Macaca mulatta: one gene and its partner. The protein of the gene in region 1 binds, or shares a complex with, the protein of each later gene. Links are inferred from orthologs where the notes say so. Each region holds a gene or a part of one and is shown on either strand. Other genes may lie near its edges. The genes, in order: NUDT21 and CPSF7.

The links.
Region 2: the proteins of NUDT21 (region 1) and CPSF7 are in contact, whole or in part, in a crystal structure (PDB 3N9U), measured with the Homo sapiens proteins. The link is inferred for Macaca mulatta from reciprocal best matches to the Homo sapiens genes NUDT21 and CPSF7. Residues at the interface, in NP_008937.1 of Homo sapiens: Arg68, Asn152, Glu154, Pro156, Tyr158, Tyr160, Pro162, Ala163, His164, Ile165, Thr166, Lys167; in NP_001129512.1 of Homo sapiens: Trp91, Trp92, Thr93, Thr94, Asp95, Gln96, Glu112, Lys114, Phe115, Glu117, Asn118, Arg119, Ala120, Asn121, Gly122, Gln123, Ser124.

What each region holds. Positions count from the first base shown.
Region 1 is NC_133425.1:52,007,744-52,012,163, forward strand, and holds the start of NUDT21 (cleavage and polyadenylation specificity factor subunit 5), read right to left. Parts: upstream 2,955-4,420; 5' UTR 2,823-2,954; coding exon 2,707-2,822; intron 1-2,706. Other genes in the region: prolyl 3-hydroxylase OGFOD1, read left to right, coding at 3,222-3,375. UniProt on the Homo sapiens protein: Component of the cleavage factor Im (CFIm) complex that functions as an activator of the pre-mRNA 3'-end cleavage and polyadenylation processing required for the maturation of pre-mRNA into functional mRNAs.
Region 2 is NC_133419.1:12,633,996-12,637,809, reverse strand, and holds part of CPSF7 (cleavage and polyadenylation specificity factor subunit 7), read right to left. Parts: intron 2,262-3,814; coding exon 2,093-2,261; intron 1,428-2,092; coding exon 1,265-1,427; 3' UTR 1,260-1,264; exon of another isoform or gene 726-1,259; intron 1-725.

The DNA of each region.
Region 1 (4,420 bases):
AAATTTTTCTTTAAAGATACTTAAAAATTCCATACTTATATGTCGTACGCCCTTAATTAAAGCCTTACAGCAAGAAGCCTTTGAGTAAGAATTTACGCCACATTTGCCCACCTATAGTATCTATTCTACCAAAAGCCCTTGACATTAATAGTCAACATTATTGCATCTACTACACTCAGCCATTCTTGAAAGGGGGAAAAAATCAAGGTTGCCAAAACTTTAAAAATTACTTTAAGGCCGGGCGCAGTGGCTCAAGCCTGTAATCCCAGCACTTTGGGAGGCCAAGACGGGCGGATCACGAGTTCAGGAGATCGAGACCATCCTGGCTAACACGGTGAAACCCCGTCTCTACTAAAATACAAAAAAAAAAAATTAGCCGGGCGAGGTGGCGGGCGCCTGTACTCCCAGCTACTCGGGAGGCTGAGGCAGGAGAATGGCGTGAACCCGGGAGGCGGGGCTTGCAGTGAGCTGAGATCCGGCCACTGCACTCCAGCCTGGGCAACAGAGCTAGACTCCGTCTCAAAAAAAAAAAAAAAAAAAAAAATTAATTTCAGAAGCCAAGTTCTAGGCATATGAAAAAGCTATAAAATAATTAAAATATACCATTTCAAGGATGCTTTAAAGATTTAAAGAACGTCCCCAGTAGACCCAAGGCTAAATCTAACACCATCATCCATAGCAGCAGCAGATATGCTACACAGCACGATGTGCCAGGCAATTTTTTCAAACGCTTTACATATATTAACATTTAATTCTCACAACCTGAGTTAGAAAGAATTAAGGATAGCCATTACACATCTCTGTTGCAAGAGCCAGCTCCAATATATCAGTAATGTCAAGATGAAATGTCAGAATTTTCACCTGTGAAATCAGAGTGCCAGCCCAGACATACATATTGTTCTCATCATACTGTGAGCTTCATAAAGCAGGGGCTACACCTTACTTCCTCACCACTGTATATCCAGTATTGTGCACAGTGCCTGGCACAAAGTAGGCATTCATGCAATATTTCCTGAAAGAAAATATACTGGGGAGAGCGCATTTGTTTTCAACTTAATATTAACTCAGGTGAACTTAAGTTCACAACACAATGATTATTTCTGAATATTTATATTTATATAGGAGAAGAAATGTACTGTAAATCAACCCATAATTTTAATAGAGCGAAGATTAAAATCTTGCTGAAAGCTAACTATTTTGCCAAGTTAATTCTACATAATGGCTTGGTGCAAATTAATTCAGTAATCAAGACAAAACAAGAAAAGACTGTGGGTTTTAGCTCTAATCACCACTGAAAGTAACCCAGAAGCTGTGCTTTCATACTTTTAAAAAGGATAACATTTGCCTTTACCATTTGATGGATTTTTTTCTTAATTTTTAAAAACATTTTTGTAGAGACAGCCTATGTTGCCCAGACTTGTCTACAACTCCCGGCCTCAAGTGATCCTCCCACCTCGGCCTCCCAAGGTGCTGGGATTACAGTCTTGAGCCGCCACTCCTGAGGACTTTTATACACACAACTATCGACTAATTCCAGATTTTATAAACCCAGCATTTCCATCATCTAAATTTCCAAGCCAACACATTTTACAAAATAAAACAATGTTAACCATCTTTTCAACTTCAAATCACTTTGGTTGGGGGACGGAGAGAGAACGTCCATTTATTTTAATATAAAACAAGAGAAACACCTAAACTGCCCTACGAAAACATCAATACCACCAAATCCTTGCACTTGTACACAGACTGGCATAAACTGGCCACTTTCCTCCATCAGGAAAATAGAGGCACCACGTTGCCTCGAAAACAAATCCTCAGACACGATTTTAAAAAGCATTACTGACAATTTCTTCAGACATCTCAAACGTCAATTACCTGCTACAGCGAGTCTGCTGCTGAGAGTGACCTTGAAATGCAATGGTTTCAAGTGTTGAAACGGAAAGGTGTTGAAAATAAAACACAGCCCACAATGGGTTTTCTGGTACAAACATTCTGGTTCCCTCCAGTCTGAAAGCCCAACCATAGCAGCATCCTTACTCCCAAGGAGGGGCCTACTTGGGGTGCCTGGGATGCTGGCGTTGAGACATCATCAGACGACGCGAAGGCATAAGGCATGAGGCAGGGCAGACAGCCCTGAGCACATGAATAACATGTGTTGTATTCATAAACCGAAATATTTAAGTAGCAATTAAAAGGAAAAAAACTAGACCTAGGCATTACAGCTGGATCTCGAAAGCTTACTGTCAGAGTGAAATGTGCAAAAATGATACTAGGTTATACCATTCGTACCACATCAACAATCACAAAGCAATACCATATACGTGATGCCAAAGCATAAACATTTCACGGGAAGGATAAAACACACACACACACACACACACACACACACACACACACACATTTTGAAGTTGGTTACCTCTGGAGAGGTGGGGAAAGGATGAGTTAAAAGCAAACTCCGTTTTTCCCCATTATGACCGAATACATAGGATGGGAACAAGCCTTCCTTTACAGAAAAGGACTCTTAACTCCCGGAGGTAGGAGGATGAGAAAGGGGCCTGAGGGAGCGAGGAAGGCGCGCATCCGCCAGCGGGAGTTGGAGGCTGGGAGGTGCGGAGGCGTGAAGCACGCCGAAAAGCCGGGGACGCGCGGGAGTGTCTGTAGGAGCGCTCACGAGAGAAATGCCCGCCAAGGCCGCCCCGCACTTACAGATTGATGGTGCGCTCCAGGGTGAGGGGCTTGGTCTGCTGGATGTACTTGTTGCCGAACTGAGTGACCCCCCGGGGCCAGCCGGTCTGCGAGCGATTGGGCGGTACCACAGACATGCTGGCGAGCTCCGGCGCTGGCGGCGAGCAGAAAGTGGGAGGCAGGGGAGACTTTCCCGGTGCGGGAAGCGGTTATCTGCAACCCCCTCAGCAGCTACCGCCCGCCATTAACAGGAGAGCGCAAGAGGAGGCGTAGGCACGCCGGAAGTGAACCCGGAGCCTCTGGCGGCAGGAAGTAGAGAGGAGGTGGCCTGCCAGACCGAGCGCCATTGGGCCAATAGCTGGTGGGATGGCTGCAATAGCTGGAGCTCCCATTGGTAAACCGGGTATAGGTTCCGCCTCCTCTTGCTTTGGTGATTCCCATTGGAAACACAGTAAAGGAGGCATGCCGGGAATTGTAGTCCCCTCAGGAAAGTAGCGTCTTGATCAGTGTGGCGTGGTTCTGTACCTTGGGAGGAGATGAATGGGAAGCGGCCAGCGGAGCCTGGCCCAGCCCGGGTGGGAAAAAAGGGAAAGAAGGAGGTGATGGCGGAGTTTTCGGACGCTGTTATGGAAGAAACCTTGAAAAAGCAGGTGGCTGAGGCCTGGAGCCGCAGGACGCCGTTCAGTCACGGTAACCGGGTGCTCTCAGGGAGGGGCCGCCACGCGGGGATCTGGGGACCTCTGAAAAAGCCCTGGGACTCGCGCGCAGCCCTGGGTAGCGGGGCCGCCAGGGAAGACGCTCTTGGAGGACTTTGACCACCTTGTATCCTCCTGCCTCGGCTGCTGCTCCCTTTCACTCCAAATTCGGTTTGAATTTAGAAATGTGAGAAAAGGGAGAAATGGAGGCCGGAGAGTTTTGGGAAGCAGAGGGTATGCAAGTGATAGTTGCATTCTGGAGTCACAGATTACTGAGTTAGAATCCTCTCCCCTGATTGCGCGTCGCCGGGCAATGGAATTAACCTTATTGAACTTCAGTTGCTTCCTGAGTAAAATGGGATAGTTCATAGTATTTACGTCAGAAAGTCTGTGAATGGGAGCAATACACTAATGCTTGCAAGCTTCAGTAAATGTTTCCCTGAGTAAGGCCCAATACACATCTGGACAAATACGGGAGTAGCTGATGTCATTTCTCCTGCAAGGGCGTTGCTCGGCTGTCCCAGGAGAGTCTAGCCAGGGCATTTGTGGCGAGCTGCCAGCTCGGCTCCCTAGTGTACTCGTCTCTACGCGCCTGTAGTTTGACTCCATGTTGTATGAAAATAAACGCGCGTTGACCAAGGAAAGGAGCCTACGTTGAACGATTCCAGCCTCAGTTTTAAATATCACCTTATGTGTTCAGAGCTCTGCTTCATGCGCCAGGCATCCCCTTCTAGAGTTTGCCGTAATTTCTCTTTCGTTGTCAAGTGCTTTGAAGAGGTGAGTCCTGGGTAGGCTGGATGCCTATAGAAAACGATGGCGTAGTGTTAAAGTGCAGGCTCTGTTCTCTCAGTTTCTACATCTGTAGGATGGAGAGAGTGATAATGTCTCCCTCAGAGCTGTTGAAAAGATTAAATGAGATAATGGGCCTGGGACATGGTAGGTGGTGCTGATGATTACAGGATGGGGATCTAGCCAGCTGGAAGCAGTGGGTAAATGTTGGGGTAGAAATCAAGGAATTAGAGGCGGTTATGCCTGAATTG
Region 2 (3,814 bases), on another chromosome or scaffold:
TGTGGTGGCTCACACCTGTAATCCCAGCACTTTGGGAGGTCAAGGTGGGCTGATCACGAAGTCAGGAGTTCAAGGCCAACCTGGCCAATATGGTGAAGTCCTGCCTCTACTAAAAATAGAAAAATCATTGGGCGTGGTGAGGCGTACCTGTAGCCCCAGCTGCTGAGGAGGCTGAGGCAGAATGGCTTGAACCCGGGGAGCGGAGCTTGCAGTGAGCCAAGATCATTCCACTGCACTCCAACCTGGGCAGCAAAGTGAGGCTCCGTCTCAAAAAAAAAAAATAGGGTCTCACTATGTTGCTCAGGCTGGTCTCAAACTCCTGCTTAAGTGATCCTCTAGCCTCTGCCTCCCAAATTACTGAAGTGCTGGGATTACAGGCATGAGGCACCCGCCTACCCCTCCTCCCCACCTTTTTTGAAACAAGGTCTCACTGTTTGCTCAGTCTGGAGTGCAGTGGTGCAATCACAGATCACTGCAGCCTCGACCTCCTGGGCTTGAGCAACCCTTCCACCTCCACCTCCTAAGTAGCTGGGACGACGAGATGTGTACCACCACACTTGGCTAATTTTTGTATTTTTTGTAGAGTCAGGGTCTCCCTATGTTGCCCAGGCTGGTCTCGAACTCCTGGGCTCAAACAATCCTCCTGTCTTGGCCTCCCAAAGTGCTGCGATCATAGGTGTGAGCCACTGTACCGAGCCTAATTCTTAAAATCATTAATGTTGCACCTTGAAAACTAAGTAGGCAATGGCGTTACTATTCTTAGTCAATTTTCCTAATTTTTTAAATTGAAAGTTCATAATAATAACGATGGCTATTAATTATTGAGAACTATGTGACAGGTACCATGAGTGCTAAATGGTCTACATGGACTCTCACACTAAAACTTAGCAAGTCATTGGGACAGTTGCTTTTATTATCTTCATTTACAAATGAAGAAACTGTGGAACAGAAAGTAATATGGCCAATTATTAGTGGAGGAACTGGGATTCAAATTGCTGCCTGAATGCAGACACCATGCTCTCACTCAGATACCAAGCTTTTCAGTTAAGAAACAAGCAGAAATCTCAGAAAGAGGTGAATCTCAGAGTCAGATTCCCCACAAATGTGCAGAAAATCTGCCCTGCAATTCCAGTTATGTAAATCAGAAGTTCCCCCTACCCTTGCTGCATTTACTTTTGCTTTAAAGAGAGAGAACTCTTCACTATAAATCTTTTTTTAACAAAAGATCCCCCAGCAGCCAGGAACGGGGCTTCTCCCACCTTTCTCAGTGGTGCCGGTCCCGTTCTCTATCCCGGTGTCTCTCGTGCTCCCGGTTCCTTTCTTGGAAATAATCATCATGCCGATCTTCATTATGAAGCAGATCCCGGTGCCTCCTGCTGCTCTCCCGGGACCGGCTAGGTGATCTTTCCCGGGACCGATGTCTTTTCCTAATTAGAAAGATCCTTCAGCCTCACTCAGAGGGCCTACCACATTCTTTCTGAAAGAATGTGGTGTTTTGGTGTCTTCCGATATTTGCCTAAACTACTCCTCTATTACTCTATCATAGGCCCACTGTCTGAGAATTTTAGCTCTTTGAGGACTAGTCTTTTTTGGGAAGATGATTAACGGGTAAATTTATCTGTTGAGAACATAATTTATCAGGTGCAGTGCTAATAGTTTTGTATGGATTATCTGACCTAATCTTTACAGCAGGTCTATAAGATAAATACCATCATTGTCCATTTTAAAAAATGAGAAAAATGAGGCTTGGAAAGTTAACTAACTTCCATATGCAAGAAGGTCATACAGATAGTTAGCAGCAGAACTGGGATTCCAATCCAAGCTTGTAGCATTCCAAAGCCCATGTTCTTAACAATACCTTTCTGTATTTTTTTCCTACATGAGCCCATGCCTCACCTACCAGATTTCAGATGTTACAATACTTATTAATGAAAGTATCTGATTAGTTTCTTCCCCATAAAGACATGAAGGCTTAGGTCCAGACTTTCAGCCAGGTCTTTCCCAGATTCCCTGGGCTCCATTTGTCCATACTCCCTATCCCTGGAAGAGTGCTGCTTGGGGCTGGTAGGTGAGGACACAATCACCAACTCACCTGGAAGAGCTCCCACTGGCACCCACACTGTAGGACTTGGCTTCGATGCCATGAAGACAGTCCTTAAGAGAGGAGATGAGGACACGGCAACGCTCATCATTGGCAACCCGGGACTGTTTGATAACCGCAATGGCTGTGAGCAGCGTCTCAATAGCGTCACTATAATCCCCTGAAAAAGGATGAATGAGAAAGGCCAAGGGTGAGGAGAGATGGTAAACTAACTAGACCAAAAGGAGAACTCAGGAGGACACAAACCAAGAGTAGCTAGCTGTCCTAAACAACCACGGTAAAAGAGACGAGGCAGATGTTGCAAATGTAAAACTGGATGACACCTATATTCCAGCGGTTTAGAATCTGACAGATGTTTTCAGATGAACAAACTGACACGTTGCTGTCCAGGGGCTATTTGACATCTATTAAAATAAACAATGTGCATATTTTTTGAGCCAGCAATTCTACTAAAAATTTTCTACTTCTGTTCACAAGTGTGTATGTTTAACAGTGTTTTAGTGTTGTTTATTATCTTCAATAGGATCTGGCTATATAAAGGAACATTGGTTCTATAGAGTATTACATAGTTGTTAAAAAGCAGGAGGTAAACCTGTATGTAAACAAAGTAATCCATGTAAAGCCATTAGCACAGTGCCAGGCACATAGTAAGGATCAGTAAATTTTATATGTTGATATAACAGGTGTCCAGAATATACTAATTGAAACAAGCAAATTTCAAAACCATATCCCATTTTTGTAAAACAATAAAAATTATATATAAATTGTCATATGCACAAAAAAAATTCTGGAGGAATATATACTAAACTATAAAAGGTGGTCTTATTGGTGGTCCTTGTATAGAGGACTATTTTGTTTTTGAGACAGGTCTTGTTTTATCATCCAGGCTGAAGTGCAGTGGTATGATCATAGCTCACTGCATCCTTGAACTCCTGGGCTCAAGCCATCCTCCTGCCACCTCACCTGGCTTATTTTTCAAAGTTTTTTGGTAGAGATGGAGTCTCACTATGGTGACCACGCTGGTCTCAAATTCCTGGCCTCAAGTGATCCTCCTGCCTGGGCCTCCTAAAATGCTGGGATTACAGGTATGAGCCACTGTACCTCATGAGACTTTCTAAACAATGTGTATTTCTACAAATTATTTTTAACCTACAATCAGATGTATATGTGTATATATATGTTATTTACATAAAATACATATGTGTAGTATATGTATACATTAAAAAAATTATGGCTGGATGCAGTGACTCACGCTTGTAATCCCAGCACTTTGGGAGGCCGAGGTGGGCAGATCACTTGAGGCCAGAGGTCAAGACCAGCCTGGCCAACATGGTGAAACCCGGTCTCTACTAAAAATACAAAAACTAGCCAGGTGGTGTGGCATGCACCTGTAATGCCAGTTATTTGGGGGGCTGAGGCAGGAGAACTGCTTAAATCTGGGAGGGAGAGGTTGCAGCGAGTCGGGATCATACCACTACACTACTCCGGCCTAGGCAATAGGGCCAGACTTCGTCTCAAAAAAAAAAAAAAAATAATGCTGTCATAAAAAACTAGACCTTTCATTTCCCAACTCTGAGCAATGCCTGGCTCAGGGATAGTGGTCATGGGGCGGGTACCTGCACTTTGCTTTTCCAAGCTAAGTCAAGAGCATTAAGGACAGAAGTTAATACAAAGAAAATATGAATCTAGGCAGGGGTCCAGTGAAAATGAAGC